Schizosaccharomyces pombe: one gene and its partners. The protein of the gene in region 2 interacts with the protein of the main gene of each other region in a biochemical or structural test. Each region holds a gene or a part of one and is shown on either strand. Other genes may lie near its edges.

Evidence for each region.
Region 1: the proteins of hht1 (region 2) and swi6 interact in a test that uses a peptide from one of them, tested with the Schizosaccharomyces pombe proteins (6 studies listed by BioGRID, with this or other methods).
Region 3: the proteins of hht1 (region 2) and chp2 interact in a test that uses a peptide from one of them, tested with the Schizosaccharomyces pombe proteins (4 studies listed by BioGRID, with this or other methods).
Region 4: the proteins of hht1 (region 2) and spt16 form a complex in vitro, tested with the Schizosaccharomyces pombe proteins (one study listed by BioGRID).

What each region holds. Positions count from the first base shown.
Region 1 is NC_003424.3:1,701,841-1,705,900, reverse strand, and holds swi6 (heterochromatin (HP1) family chromodomain protein Swi6), read left to right. Parts: upstream 1-1,802; 5' UTR 1,803-1,899; coding exon 1,900-2,886; 3' UTR 2,887-3,495; downstream 3,496-4,060. Other genes in the region: Ino80 complex actin-like protein Arp8, read left to right, coding at 1-920.
Region 2 is NC_003424.3:4,698,077-4,701,086, forward strand, and holds hht1 (histone H3 h3.1), read left to right. Parts: upstream 1-1,655; 5' UTR 1,656-1,752; coding exon 1,753-2,163; 3' UTR 2,164-2,484; downstream 2,485-3,010. Other genes in the region: multifunctional aromatic polypeptide Aro1, read left to right, coding at 1-416; hhf1 (histone H4 h4.1), read right to left, coding at 1,009-1,320. UniProt on the Schizosaccharomyces pombe protein: Core component of nucleosome. Nucleosomes wrap and compact DNA into chromatin, limiting DNA accessibility to the cellular machineries which require DNA as a template.
Region 3 is NC_003423.3:4,348,000-4,351,745, reverse strand, and holds chp2 (heterochromatin (HP1) family chromodomain protein Chp2), read right to left. Parts: upstream 1,752-3,746; coding exon 1,188-1,751; exon of another isoform or gene 1,151-1,187; coding exon 572-1,150; 3' UTR 502-571; downstream 1-501. Other genes in the region: ER membrane O-mannosyltransferase Ogm4, read right to left, coding at 2,758-3,746. UniProt on the Schizosaccharomyces pombe protein: Component of the kinetochore which plays a role in stabilizing microtubules and so allowing accurate chromosome segregation.
Region 4 is NC_003423.3:3,669,314-3,675,187, reverse strand, and holds spt16 (histone H2A-H2B chaperone, FACT complex subunit Spt16), read right to left. Parts: upstream 3,909-5,874; 5' UTR 3,730-3,908; coding exon 670-3,729; 3' UTR 566-669; downstream 1-565. Other genes in the region: RNA methyltransferase Nop2, read left to right, coding at 1-437; phosphomethylpyrimidine kinase Thi201, read left to right, coding at 5,470-5,874.

The DNA of each region.
Region 1 (4,060 bases), 3.0 Mb from region 2:
CCAACTCAAGGATAAAAATAAACTATGGAGGAGATGACATTACGCTTTTATTCATGAAATTACTCATGAGAAGTCATTTCCCGTATCAGGATATTGACTTAAAAACTCCGTATGATTGGTCTTTAGCCAATGCTTTAAAAATAAAATATTGTGGCCTAAGTGAAGCAACCTATAATGTTCAATTGAATAGCTTCTTTTCGCGAACACCTGATAAAGGGACTAGAAAATTTACATTTAAAAGCCTTGACGAAACAATGCTTGCACCTCTTGGATTCTTTCGCCCTGACATTTTTGAAAATGAAAATAAACTTCATGATCGGTATACTTTGTTTCCAGTGCCGGTCGATGTATATGACAACCAACCGAATAATCCCGAATCACTTGCCCAAACCACTTTATTGCAAATATCTACGCCGATATCCAACATCAAAGCTAATGGAAAAGATGATGAAGAGAAAAAAGAAGAAAGTGATTTGGTGACACCTTCGGTAAAATTCAAGCCTCCACGGGTAGTATATTGTGGCTCACTTGCTGCTCCAGAAATAAAGAATGAGAAACTGATATATCCTTTGGATGATGCAATCAACCAGAGTATATTTAGTGCATGTGATGGAAATTTAAGTGATGAGAAGGCAAAAAATCTTTACTCAAGCATTTTGATCGTCGGTGGAGCTGGTCAGTTCCCGGGCTTTGCTCATTTACTGGAAGAGCGTATCCATTCCAAGCGTGCCAACATCCCTACTATTTCGGTAATTCCTCCACCAAGAAGTATGGATGCTCAATTTGTTGCCTGGAAGGGTGCTTGTATATACAATCGCATTCGGATCGTATCGGAGCTGTGGATAAAAAACAGCGATTGGAAAATGTTAGGTAGCCGTGTCTTGCAATACAAGACATTGGGTTATTTTTGGACTGGCTAAACCATATGTTTATGCTTTCATATTCGTTACTAATTTTTTAATGCAACACCATATGTTTTTGCTATTTTTCATTATTTTTAGATGTTAATAAACCATGGTCTACAAAAACAGTACAGATGCCTCTAAGTTCATGTTTTTTGAAATTTTGAAGATACTTCATCAACTACTCATTCTTTTTGATATTTGAGTGCTCAAATAAGTTGAATTTATCATAATTTCCCTAAGTACGTATTTCTTTAAACGTACCATTTTGTATTTAAGTAATCTTTACATTCCAAAAATTGTAGTATCATTGTAAAAAAATTGAAAAAATAAACTCCCAAGGCGAGACTCGAACTCGCAACCTTCTGATTACCATCATAAGAGTCAGACGCTCTAAACCGATTGAGCCACTCGGGACTTCGTTGACGACTTAAGTTATTCAGTGTAATATGTAGTGCAAAAAGAATCCTCATAAGAATATATATTTTGTTGTTTGACGATGATTGCCTACGAAATTTAAAAGGTGGAATTGTTTTCTAGTTAAGATTGTTTATCAATCTTGAGAGACTCAGCATTGCTTTAGAAAACAAATCAGCATGCCAACCGTAACAGCCAAATATCTTGTTACTCGCAGCATTACTTAAAATGTTAATTTTATTTCTAACGGTAATATTTGTTCAATATTTTCGTATTTCGCATTAAGTAAATCACTAGGAAATTGAGATGCTTTTGAAATAATGATTATTACTGATAGTGATCTAAGCAAAATTAGGCGTCGTTAATCAACTTTTAGACAACGATTAATACAGTACTTCTATGCAATATTTTAATAAACGAACTCTATGTGATGCTAGCCATTCTGTACACCATGAAAAGCAAGCCAAACATGTCTCGCTAAACGAGCAAACAACCTGTAAAGACCAACGCGAAATTGATGTTTAGTACTTTTTAAAATATTCTGAAATCTCGTTTATTTTCATATTAAGACAAGTGAAAAATGAAGAAAGGAGGTGTTCGATCTTATCGGCGCTCCTCTACTTCAAAACGATCAGTTATTGACGACGATTCGGAACCAGAGTTACCAAGCATGACAAAGGAGGCTATTGCTTCTCATAAAGCAGACTCTGGGTCGTCGGACAATGAAGTTGAAAGCGATCATGAAAGTAAATCTTCGTCGAAGAAATTGAAAGAAAATGCCAAAGAAGAAGAAGGAGGAGAAGAAGAAGAAGAGGATGAATATGTTGTAGAAAAGGTTTTAAAACACCGTATGGCGAGAAAAGGTGGAGGCTATGAATACCTTTTGAAATGGGAAGGTTATGACGATCCCAGTGATAATACATGGAGTTCAGAAGCCGATTGTAGCGGTTGCAAACAGTTGATAGAAGCATATTGGAATGAACATGGAGGAAGACCAGAACCTTCTAAAAGAAAGAGGACTGCAAGACCTAAAAAGCCCGAAGCAAAGGAGCCTTCACCAAAGTCTCGTAAAACTGATGAAGATAAACACGACAAAGATTCCAATGAAAAGATTGAAGATGTGAATGAGAAAACTATTAAATTCGCCGATAAATCGCAAGAGGAATTTAATGAGAACGGCCCACCTTCTGGTCAGCCGAATGGTCACATTGAATCTGACAATGAGTCTAAATCTCCTTCACAAAAAGAATCGAATGAAAGTGAGGATATTCAAATAGCAGAGACCCCTAGCAATGTTACTCCGAAAAAGAAGCCTAGTCCGGAAGTTCCCAAACTTCCGGACAACAGAGAGCTGACGGTTAAACAAGTAGAAAACTATGATTCTTGGGAAGACTTGGTATCTAGCATCGATACAATTGAACGAAAAGATGATGGAACCTTGGAAATTTATCTGACTTGGAAGAACGGTGCAATATCTCATCATCCTAGTACTATCACCAATAAAAAATGTCCTCAGAAGATGCTTCAATTTTATGAAAGCCACTTAACGTTCCGTGAAAATGAATAATTTTTTTGTGTTCCTTTAAAAAATTCTTTTTCTTTTGTTTATAAATTAGATTTCGCTTTTTTCTGACGTTATTGCTTTTATCAAGTCCCGTGTCGTAGTATGAGTTCTTGTTCTCTTACTCGAAAAATGCATCTAACATTATACTTATACAAATTTTTGTTAGGCGCTTAACATCACATTCTAGTTTATGAACGCCTTTGTTTTCTTTCACATTGAATTGATTACGAGTGACTTGAGAAATGTAAAATACCTTTTGTCGTTATGGTTTGACATTCTAAATAACCTAAGGTTTGACATTCTAGATAACCTAATTTCTTTAATTTTACCATTTATTAATTTAGCATGCACTGCTCTTCATGCATTCAAAATCGTGTCTAATAATAACGTAATTTTACTCGTTAAATAAAGAATTTATGCATGCAAAATCGTTACTCATAAACCTCAGCAGATAAATTTGTTAACAAAAATGAGGGTGCATGAATATCTGCCTTCTCCGTTTCTTCTGTTCCATATGCTTCTAAGTTTGGGTTACCAACTGAACTCAAAGATAGGGTCAAGATGTAGTGTATCAAGTTTGAATCTTTATCAAGTACTATGTTGCCTCTTGAGAAATTCGTTTGAGAATAGCTGTATAGCTAAAGATAAATAAGGGTTTGAATGTAATTGTTGCTATGTAAACACAGTTGTAATTATAGATTTTTAATTGTTGCTGCTTTTGTACATTAGCAAAAAAAAATACAAGCAAGTTATGATGAAGAAGTCTGGTTATGCTATTTTTCTAAGAAGCTGGGATAAATTCATATTTTGTTCCTCTTTTTTTTTTTTTTTAAATATGTTTATGTCAGATTGGCAGATTTACCATATAAACACATAATGGCAAATTATGGCAAACTTTGCAAATGAACATGTATTTATCGAATTTCCTTGTTATCTTTTTTTATTGCTAGCAACACATGAAGACATCAGTCCCCTCTCGGCAATACATATTATCGATTGACACTACTGTATGCTGAGACTGAACAACAGAGTTCTCACTTGGACTTTTTGCTTGCTCCTCAAAGACTTTTAAAAAATTAAATAATAACTATTATATTTCTAACTGTTTTTAATCTAATTATTAGTCACAAGTTGCGCTTTTGTTATATATATGACTTCTATTCAAATTGTGTATACC
Region 2 (3,010 bases):
TGGGAGTATCCCGAATTTATTTGTTGAACCGCACTTTAGCCAACTCTTATCGTGTTCAAGACGTTTTCCCTCCTGATTATAACATCCATATAATAGATTCTGACAATATTCCTTCTGAAGAATTATCTAGTGTTACCCTTTCCGCGGTCGTCTCGACAATTCCTGCAGATATTGAGCTTCCTGAAAAAGTTGCATCTGTTATTAAAGCTTTGCTTGCTAACAAAGCCGATGGTGGAGTATTCCTTGACATGGCTTACAAGCCCTTGCATACACCTCTAATGGCTGTTGCATCTGACTTGGAATGGAAATGTTGCAACGGATTGGAAGCTTTAGTTCGTCAAGGTCTTGCGTCTTTTCATTTGTGGACTGGAATGACAGCACCATTTGATGCTGTTTATCAAAAGGTTATTGAGTAAGTCAACAATTCAAATTTTCGATTTAGTTAGGTATTTTGAAATCTATTTTGATACAAATGTAGAATAAAAATACAGGAAGTAATTTTTTTTAGCACTTCAGCTAGTAGAATCAGGAAGCCAATTGACGCTTGGTATGTCAATGATCAGTAAGCAGTCGCAAAATGTATGAACGCTGTAAATTTACAACAACAAAAATAATCTTGTAGAAGTGGAAACATTACTGTACCATTTTGCATACCAACTTGTATCTACTTTCGACTACAAAATGAAGTATTTTGCGAAACGTGATAATTAAGTTTATTAAAGTGTGACATTCAAAGACATTGTTTGCAAAAAATAATATCACCTACAAAAGAAACTAGTCATAAAAACATATGCAGAACAAATCCAATTAAAAACAGAACTTATAAGACTGCTGAAAAAGGGAAAGTCGCAGAAAGAGGTAATAATCCACAAAAATTATATTGATAGATAATTCAAATTTCACGAACAATTGCACAACATTTATAGCAGACAGGGGTAAAAAAGGAATTAAGTGGTAAATAATAAAGTGATATACAAACAAGGAGAAAAAAATCAATGTAATAGGAGTTTAACCACCGAAACCATAAATGGTACGGCCTTGACGCTTCAAAGAATAGACAACGTCCAAAGAAGTGACAGTCTTACGCTTGGCATGCTCAGTATAGGTGACGGCATCGCGAATAACATTTTCTAAGAAGAGCTTGAGAACAGCACGAGTCTCTTCATAAACCAAAGCGGAAATACGCTTCACACCACCACGACGAGCAAGACGACGGATAGCAGGCTTAGTAATACCTTGAATGTTGTCACGAAGAATTTTACGGTGACGCTTAGCACCACCTTTTCCCAAACCTTTACCACCTTTACCACGACCAGACATGTTAAGAAGTAGAAAAAATTAAAATCTACGCAAAAAAACGCGTAATTCTTTAAGTATAATAAAGATAAAGGGGTTTTCCGTTGACTAACAAAGGAACAATGAATTTATAGATGTCAACAGATGTTAACGGTAGGATAAAAGTCAATGCAAATTGACAAAGGATTTTATCCGTATTCAAAAACAATTAAAAGAAATGATTGTCTGAAGAGAGGGAAGTTGGGGCGACGCTGTCTATTTGTTTTGAATCTGCATCAAAACCCTAACCCTGCTTTTGATGAGATCGGGTGGATTCAAAACATATATATAGCAAATATCTGCAGTACGCTTGCGTTTCCATTAATTCTAAAGATCAACAATTGGCAAAAGTAGCACAACAGCTATTTTTTTCTCGATTGTCTTTTTATTTGATATTCATTCTACTAGCTTGATATAATGGCTCGTACTAAACAAACAGCTCGTAAGTCTACCGGTGGTAAGGCACCCCGTAAGCAATTGGCCTCTAAGGCCGCTCGTAAGGCCGCTCCCGCTACCGGAGGTGTTAAGAAGCCTCATCGTTATCGTCCTGGTACTGTCGCTCTTCGTGAGATTCGTCGTTATCAAAAGTCTACTGAACTTTTAATTCGTAAGCTACCTTTCCAACGTTTGGTCCGTGAAATCGCCCAAGATTTCAAGACTGACTTGCGTTTCCAATCTTCTGCCATTGGTGCTCTCCAAGAAGCTGTTGAGGCCTACCTTGTCTCTCTATTTGAGGACACTAACTTGTGTGCTATTCACGGAAAACGTGTTACGATTCAACCCAAGGATATGCAGTTGGCTCGTCGTCTCCGTGGCGAACGCTCATAATTTTCTCCAGGACTTTTGGCAATTGTAATTGAGACTAAATTAATTTTGATTGACTGCTTGCCTGTATTATACTGTCACCCTTTGATATGTTGCTACCAATAAGTGAAAAGCAGGCTTCGTGAATAATTGTTGTTTTTGTTCTACATTACCAAGAGCTAGATGAACGTTCACTTTGATGGGAACGGATATGTGTTAATTTGGTTGTTTGAATTTATCTTCAATTATAGAAACTTGTCGTTAATTCATGCGAATGAATTCAGCCTTGAGAGTGACAAGTTTAGATAACACATTATGTACATTAATGAAAACTAATGACAACAAGTACCTTTATTTGAAACATGATTTCTTTTATTTCAAGTATCTGTTAAATTTATGTCTTTTGTTTTATAAAAGAATACAGAACTACGAAGACAATGCTTTTTTTAAAAATCTTTACACTTTTGGTATTGAGATTTGGTTGTTATCGCAGCATTCTTTATCGTTTAATGGCGGTTCGCATAAAGAATTGCACATATTTATATGAACAAACTGTTTTCAGGTATTTACGAACTGTTTAATAGCTTAATAGCTTTGATATATCGCGGAAAGATATTTTGCAAAGACAAATCGAGCATGTAATGAACTTATCGGCCGAAAAAAAATAGACAATTCGTGAAAAATAATCAGTCATTCTTTCCTGCTTGTTATGTAACCTCTCTTTAGAACCTGGAATTGCATTTATAAGAGAATTAACGGTCGTTTTAATTCTTATTTTTAAAAATTTAGAGCTTTCTTAAGCATAGTTGAACGAGTAAAAGTAGTCCTTTGTTAGCGACTTCATAATTAAGCCTTGAAATTTATTCGGATG
Region 3 (3,746 bases), on a different chromosome or scaffold from region 2:
GCTGTAAATCTCCTTAGGAAACGCTAATTTGATATTGGTATTTCAGCATTACCTTCTGCTTTGGTTTGTGAAAAACGAATCTGAATGCAATCATAGTTTTGATTTATACAATTTGAGTTTCAGAAATGTACAATTTTTTAGAGATTGTAGGCACTGTAAAAGCGTTGAACGAGTTGATATTTGACAGTTTCAAGCTGAATTTGATGTGCTATACATAAACAAAAAGCATGGCAGTGGCGCAAACTCAAATTTTCCTTTCAAAGAATATTTTGTTTAGCTACCAAAATCTTTTACCTGGTATCTTGACCTTGGTTTTAATGCTTTATTAAAATATGAAACCAATACAGCACTTTATGCAACTTTATAGCTGACCTTGAATAGAATAAAATACTGCAATTTTTTGAGTTTTACAACACAGTCTACATTCTGCATTTTTTGTGAGGAATATGTGCATCGGGTGCAACATTTCTAAGAAAAGCTTACAAAAAAACTGTAAAAATTTTAGCTGAATCTTATAGTTCTATCTTAGTAACCCACTCGTAATTCTAATTATTAAGTCCAAAGATCAACATTATGTAAATTTAATATGAGCCTCGTAATATTCAATAATTTTAAGAGGACATTTTTGGTGAATTATTATGTTATCGTGAGTTGAGACGTAACCATTTTTCCACTTTATTTTTGCAATTAGTTTACCATTATCAAGTTGTTGAACCGTTTTAACACAATCAACCAAATCTTCCCAGCTTTTCTTCTGAAAAGGAGGTTTAAAATTTTTTGAAGATTTATCAGATTTCATATATTTCTCAATTTTGCTTTGCTTTTCTTTCATAGAAGATTCAGATAAATCCGAGTCGACATAATCCGTAATACGATTTGCTGCATTCCTGCTTCTCCTTCTTTTATAAGATATAGAGTCATCAGAGTTTGAACTCTCATCTTTCTCAACATAGGAAGCTTCATTCGAAGATCGTGCGCGGCTTCGCGTCAATCGTATTAAAGACGAAAGATCTGGTTTACCTCCTCTAGATTCCCAGTATGCGTCTATTAATTCCAGACAGCCCGCACAATCTTCTTCATCATTCCATGTATTATCGGAAGGGTCATCGTACCCTTCCCATTTCAAATAATATTGGAAGCCTGATCCATCCTACATGGTTAGCAAGACAAGTATTAATGTTGCGCACCTTTTTCATCCTACTATCTAGAATCATTTCCACGGCGAATTCTTCATCTGAATTTTTATCTTCACTACCAGAACTAGCAATATACTCAAACCCTTCATTCAGAGGAACGGGTGATTGAGAGTTATGATCATCAGAACCACTAGTCTTTTCGAAATTTGAAGAAACAGAAGCAGAAGATGAACTTTTAAATTCGTTTTTGTAACTAGAAGATTCATCCTCTTCTTTTTTATCTTCAGAGTCTTCCATGTTAGAGATTGGAGACAATTTGGAACTTTTGACTTTTCTTATTTCACAACTGAACGACACATTGTGAGTCTTCTGAGACCCTGAATTTCCATGACTGTATAAGTCTAAAGAATTTTGAATATGGGTTTTTTCGGGAACACTAAGACCGTAAAGCGAAGGATGCCATGAACCATTTTGAGGACTTTCCAAACTCGCTGTCGAAGACTTATTGTTAATTGAATTTTCGGCTTCTTCAACAGTGAATGGTGGAGGACTAAAATTTTCATCACTTTCACTGATTATACTATTCATTAGGTCAAGGTCGGCACTTTTGACCATTATTAAGACTTTCCAGATATACCAACATAAATTATTAACCCTTCATATATCAATTAAAAATTTAATAAAAAATATTCTGCTCTAATTAATTTGATGCTGGTTATGCAATAATATTGCTGCTTATATGTTTATTTCGACGGATTCATTGATATTTTCTCCTCCCTTTATAAATACAGTTTTAAAAGATCCGCCAAGAAAAAGTATTTTGAATATAATTGACAGTTTTTATATATTGTGAAAGGACAACGGAAATTTTAGGTAAGGTTTATCACAAAGCGATTTACAATCCAGAAGTAGTATTAAGTGCAAGTCCTGCAATGTATTGGTTCAACTAAATATGAATACAGTATTAAAATAATAACCAATTTAGAATCGAAGTTCAAAAAAATTTGAAGATAAAGTGCTGTGCATAAAAATAACATACATGTAAAGGGTTAGGATGCTCAAGGTCCCATAATACGCTTGTCTTAAACAAATCTACCTATTGTTAAGGCAAGTAAGGGATGTATTAAAAGTGTTCATAGTTTTTCTGGAAAACTAAAAAATTGTAAATATATTATAAATCTTTTTTGTAAGCAATATTTAAAAGAAAGTATTATTTCATTTCTTTAAAACTTGTAATTAAAGATCTATCTACTATGCTTGGTTAATCAACAGAAAATATAGATATCAAGCTTCATGCAATAGCAAATATTGTGAAAACCAATTACTACCAAGTACTTTTTTTTGATATTCTATGAATTTCCTAGATACGTAAAGTGTATAACGATCTGACTTCCGTAGAGTTATCGATCTAATAATCGCTTAATTTATAAGTAGATATAAAAGCTAAACGGAATAGGTTGCCGATCCACGAATATTGAAATTATAGGGTATAATCAATTTAGAGCTGGATCAAATGTCCAAGCCAGCGATAACTGTTTTTTTATTAAATATTAGCAGACCAAAAGCAGCTTTGCAGCTTTGTTAAAAAAATTCGAGCTCAAAAGAATCATTATGAAAGTGGCTAATTTTGTTTTTGGTATTGAAACACCCATGAATCAAGCCATTTACGTCTCGTCCATTCATCAACGCTAAGGCTTTTATCTCCGTATGTCATTGGAGCGAAAAAGGTGAAACAATAAATAACGACAAAAATGAGTAGTAATGTACAGATGAGCTCTATTACATGACCGTATTTTCTATGACATTTGGAATGTCCTTTTTCATCGACATCTTTAGGAATCGGAACTCCTGCGGACACGGGTGATCGGAAGGATTTGCGACAGGCTAACTGTATAAATGCGCCTACAAGCAAGGAACCTGCCAAATGAGCAGGAAGATAATGGTGTAAAAACAATTGACGACCCATGATAAAGAATGGAAGATAATGAAAGACATAAGTCATGTAGAAAAACATAGTGGAACGGTAAAAGTGGTTACGGACAGTTTCAGGTAAAGTACGAATACCTCTTTGGCGAAGCAAAATTTCAGCTGCAGCGACCACCGTCGTACTCAAAACAGTACCGGCAATGATCCACCAACCGATAGGATTTCCCAATAAATATATTTGCTTGTTTTCCTCACTTTTAGCCCAAAACGCAATACCGTGGTGCAAAGTAAACCAATCAGAAGGATTAGAACTGTATGGATGAAACTCGGTTAACATATTATTTTGTCTAAACATTGTGAGTTGTAGCTCCAAATATTTTTTCCAAAATGGTAGTTTTTTAGGAATTTTTTTTTCCTTCTTCAATCGGCTATCTTTAAGTCCGATAATATCATCGAATGTCCAGAAAATTGACCCAGTTTGAATGTTTTTAGCACCATTGATTTCTAGCTGTTTAAATGCCCAATCTGGAAGTGGCTTTGGATCAGACCACATAGCCACATGAGTGAGTTTATGGATCAATTTGAAAGAAGAAGCTTTGGTATATAAAGGTCGCTGAGGATCAGTATTATCACTCATAACCACTTGAAACAACGTGTACTCATGTTTTTTCCCAGCAGATTCAT
Region 4 (5,874 bases), on a different chromosome or scaffold from region 2:
CCGGTGGTTTTATCGTGTATTCTACTTGCAGTATTACTGTTGACGAAGATGAAGCAGTTATTCAATATGCTTTAAAGAAGCGCCCTAATGTTAAGCTAGTGTCCACTGGACTTGAATTTGGACGTGAAGGGTTTACCCGTTTTCGTGAAAAAAGATTTCATCCAAGTCTAAAGTTAACTAGACGTTATTATCCTCATGTTCACAATATAGACGGTTTTTTCGTTGCCAAACTGAAAAAGATTTCTGATAAAATCCCTACTGTAAATGTGGCTGATGATATGAAGGATGGAACAAATAATGATGTTGAAATTGAAAAGAATTCTACTGAAATTGATAATATTACTTTCAATGATGAAGCCGATAAGGAGATTATCGAGCAGAATCGTCGCAAATGGTTGAAGTCTAAAGGTTATAAGGTTGCAAAAAAAAAGGATTAGAATAATTTTGGTTAGGTTGGGATTACACAATAAAAGGTAACTGAACATTGATTCGCGTGTTACTACAACAATTATATTAATAGGTTGTCGTAAAGAGCCGGTCTTTATATTTTTGTATCAATCCATCTGGTTGTCAAATCTCAATTCAGTGGAATATTTTATTATAAAGTATTCTGGAATTTTTAGAATAAACTACATATAAATAATAAGAAAGTGAAGTAAATTTGTGAGTTTACCGGTGTCTCTTTTTAGATGGTCTTTCTTCAAAAGCATCGTGCTTAGCATCTTCTTGACGTGCTTTACGCTCCAATTCATCCCAATCTTCACCACTTTCTTCATCCTCCACTTCGCTTTCACTGTAACCATCCTCTTCACTAGCATCTTCGCTGTACTCCTCAGATTCTTCTTCCTCTTCATCAGAAGGGTCGGCATCAGAAGCTTCATACTCAGAAACCTCTTCGACACTATCATCTCCTTCATCATCACTCGGAGCTCCCAAAAATCCCCATCCTCCTTCTTCAAAGAATGCAATGGGGTCCTCGTTGACAGTTTTCATAATCGTGGTCCAGTTCAAATTAAGAGGACCTTCATAGAAGCATATATCGCATGAATCGAGCCATTCCTTTACATTATCTAATTGCTCCATTGGAATTGTATTGATATGAATCGGAGGGCGGCGGAAGTCTTGAAAGATGAAAACCAAATCAAAATTTTTTAAACCAAATTGTACACGCTCCAAGTGTGCAATTTCAATTTCGTTTAGTGTAATTACAGTAAATGGTGTGTCTGTCAATTGAACTAGGCAATCAGTAGTCGGCTGCAATAAAACATTGGAACGGAAGGGAACACCATTGAATGCAAGTTCGCGAAATGGAATGTCTAATTCAATTCGTCCCTCACTTGCTTCAGCGATTTTTTCAGCAAATGATTTAAATTCGCGATCTAATTGAGCACGACGCCGTCTTTCTTCTTGTTCTTGCTCCAATTCATCTTCATCACCATACATGTATTTCCGCTTCTTGTTTCCAGTTTCGTCAAACTGAATATCAGAAACTTCGCGATAAAATTGCACGTCCTGGGTCTTCCTTTTTCCCACCATGATCGGAGCTTTCAGATGAACATGAATAAGAACGATAAGCTCGCCTTCACATGGCTGGAAAAAGAGATGCTTCATATTAGAAAACAAAAGATCAATGTGGCTATCTGAACGTAATGGCGATTGATACCGAATACCATTTTGGTGTATCTCAATGAATCCAGGCAACCGTTTCCCGTCAATAGCAGGGCGAACGTAAACATCATTTATATGAGCAGGTCTCTTGTTCTTTATTTCAATTAATTTATCTTGCTCAATAACATCAGCAAACTCCTTACGTTCAGTTTCACGCTTGGTAGCTGCTTTCTTCATATCTTGGATGTCCTTGAATACTTGCGACATTCTAGAATTATTTGAACTTCTGAAAGTAAAGCTTCGTATGAATTGGGCATTAGGGTCCTCAAACGGTAACTCATCCTTTTTACCGCCAATCTGGCCAGGACTTACGAAATTTAGTCGTAAATACACAAAATTTCCCTCATCGTTTTTACTAGCATTTTTTAAAGTAGATATATGGAACGGGACAGGCCGACCGAAAATGGGTAAAATAATACTTTGAGCTCGATAATCTACTAGAATACGTAACTCACCAATTGCTTGTGGAAGTTGCGAGTCACGCTTGTACGACTCAAATCGTTTGACAGTGGGTTTTTCGATGCCGCTAGACGGAACAGAACCTTGAGCAAATCGTTGCAATCCCTCAGCCTGTTTTCGCGATGCTAGTTGCTTTTGATGCTCAACACGCCTCTTTTCAGCAGAATCATCCAAGTCTCTGGTTTCACTTCGAGTCTTTCCTTTATGACTTGATATAGTTGCCGTTCCCCGAGTAGGTGGTTTGCGTGGCTTTACGCCGTCTTCAAGAGAAGAATCATCTTCACCAAAGAAGTAGGATATATCACCTTGAGCTTTTGGAGAATCAGTAAATACGATTGGATCACTTCTTGTTATTTGAATTGTGTCAATCAATAAAAGAGCATACTCTTTAGACTGAGAATTTTTAGGATGAGGATTAATCAAATTCCCAAATCCAATGCTAAGATTTAGAGTCATCCCGGCTTGAAGAACGCGTGGGTTTTTGGCATTTACTAAAAGTGAAGATTCGCGAAATTCAATGCCAATGCCGGCACCTAGATTTCTTACAAAATTAGGTTCGAGATCAGGACGTTTAGCACGTATAAGACCCAAAATTTTCGTATATATGTCCCCAATAACAGCGCCATCTCTGCAGTATTCGAACAACTTTTTCTGAAGCGCTACTAAAAAAGAGTAATTTTTCTGTTGTTCGGAATCAGGATCAAATAAATAAGTGCGACCAACATTAGAACAATACGATTTGTAGCGAAACCCTAAAGAGCATAGGACGACGTCCCCATGAAGATTTCTATCATCTGTTATAGCAGAAGGCTTCAAATCATAACTACCCCCCGATTGAATAATGGGAGTATAACACCACTCTAGTTGATCCAAGTCTATGTCTCCTAGTTTCAAAGATTTTGTTTGAAAAAAAGCCTCGTTATCAATAAGGCTTTCCATCTGATCCGAAAACTTAGAGTGAGTTATTTTTTTTCCTTGGTCAATATAAGTCGAAAGTTCATCAACAAAATATTTACTCATAACCGCAACACTAACCCGCGATGCTCCTTTTATATTAGCAAGTTCTTGTTCGTCCTTTATAGCAAGACACTTTGCTAAGCCAAGCGATGCATCCACAAGATTAAATTCTGATTTCACTGGTTCAAAAATTGAGTCCCATTCATTAATGAATTTTCCTTGTGTTTTATCCTTAGGAAATACTCCGACCTTTTTATTGGTGGCTCTAATATACTCTATTATTTTTTCAAAAAGCTTTTTATTTTCCTCAGCATCTTTCGTTCTCTTCAAGATGTTAACGTCAGCTGCAGCCCCCTTGGTTTCAGCCAATTTCGTTAACATATTGGCCTTGTTAACTGATGTAAGGATTGTGATTCGATGCTTTTCAAGAAGTATTAAAGTCGATGGAAATTCATAACCCAAGAGCCATGTATGTAGTGCAGTGGACTTTTGATATGGATTCGTATCATCATGAGCCCCTACTGTTACTAAAATACTGTCGCAGTCTTGAAACAGCGTCTTTCCGTCTTCCTCATTCTTCCAGGAGGTAAGAAGTATGCCCAAGCGTTTATGAAATGTAATTTCGTCTATTTCATATTCAGCCATTTTACCTTTAATTAACGATTTAAGATATATTCACTCTTTAGCGAATAGTTATTTTATCTGAAAGGGCAAAAAGGCTTTTTCTTACAAAATTTCTTAAAATTTTGTAAAAAAGAAACAGGAATTGTTTTATTTTTTTTTTATTGATTGATAGCTTTTTTTGATATCTTGTGGATGGAGGTGGGTAAGTGGTAGTACTTTTGAATGTAGATATATAGGGCTGGGATTTCTGCGACGCGACTCGACTTACGCTGCATGTGTTCTAGCTTGATTATTTGAGCTTGTTAATGTTTATAATAGACCACAAGCATCATAAAAAAATAAAATTTATTTATTTATTTTTTGGTTCTTCAAGAGCAGGATGAATATCACGCTTTGCTGTATATAATCGTAAACGGTTGGACAAGCTTTATAATTTTTGGAGCACGAATACTATACATACATGTCTGAATACGTCTACGTACATATATGAGCTGTAGTAATTTAAAAAATCATTTACCTACGTCAAGCAATCCAAAGACAATAGATATTACTTAATGCTTTAGTTATTGAAAAGTGGCACAAATTCTGGAGCACTCAGCTTTAAACGGATTAAATTGATTTGCTTGGTAAAATGAACTGAGTAGAACAAATTATAAAACTACAACGCAAAACTAGTAAGCCATTTATAAAGATCATTTTTACCCGGTATACCTTTGCTTTAGATGAAACTAATTTTGAAATGCACCATTAAAAATAAGGTATATTAAGTGGTTTGTAACCCTTTTACGCGACTAACCAGTTAAATACCAATTTTATCTTAAAAGTATATACGGTATTATCCCCATGAAATTTTTAAAATGTTTTGTATAGCTGACGAACATCGTATTGAAGTGTTTTTGGCTTAAAGACAAAATTTAGTTTACTAAATCTTCAACCGTTACTGGTGGTAGTTTTAATTATACATGGCTAAATGGATCAGCAACTTTATTGTTAATTTAAATAATCCATAAGGAGCGATATCTTAAGCTTCGGAACAAATAATAGCAAGAAATACGTTTCATATCTGGTTATCATGATATTTTTGTCTTTCCAACCAGTGAAGTCAATAAAAATATAAGTTCTTGGGTCAACACGGAGTAACAAAATATACAAATATCTTAAATATAACTTTGTTGTAAGCCTTATTGGTGATATAGGGTATGGCTTAAAATTCAAAAAACGAATTTACAATTTATTAGAATTTGTTCAATATTTTTTATGAAACTTACCACGAAATACTGGATATAGTAATAATATATAGTAAATGCAAAATATGCGCTGCTATTAAAATCAATTTCTAGTGCTGATCCAGGTAATGCCACATTTCATGAAGAAAACAAAAAAACGAATATCCAGATCCTTATATCATGGATCTCATCCATTTTATGTAGGCAGAAAAACGAACTACTACTACGAAAAATGGGGTTCGGTTATATGAGTCCGTGAAAAAACGGCGCTTACATACACACGAACACTCATGCATATATAAAGAGTATGTTTACAAAACAAATAAAACGTTTTTTGTATCACAAAACCTCAAATTGGGTCTACTTGAGTTAATATCGTCTTTTTTGCGGTATATTTGTTCTCAATCCCTTTTCTTTCTGAGAATCCTTTGCATACCAAATTCGCTATTTGCTGAGGAAAATTTAACACATAAATTCTGCTTTATAACTATATTTAGGACCATTTATTTTACAAAATTTCCAGTCAATATCTATCATGCCGTATAACCCTCTTTATGAATCGCTTTCCAATCAGTTTGATCCTTCGCGGATAGAAACAGTATTGGATCCAATGGGCTATACCATCAAGCGTCGGGCTCTTCCAGTTAGTCTAACCATTGCCGGTTCTGATTGCAGTGGTGGTGCCGGAATTCAAGCTGATTTGAAGACCATGACCAGTTTAGGTGTATATGGTATGAGTGCTATTACTTGTTTAGTTGCTGAGAACGCTGGTGGAGTAGACTCTGTTGAGGAAATGTCTCCTGCCTTCGTAGAATCTCAAATCGATTGTTGCATTCGAGACATACCTTGTCATGTCGTGAAAACAGGTATGCTTGGCAGCCCTGAAATCGTTAAGGCAGTTGCACGTTCTGCCAAGAAATTCAACTTTTCGAAGCTGGTG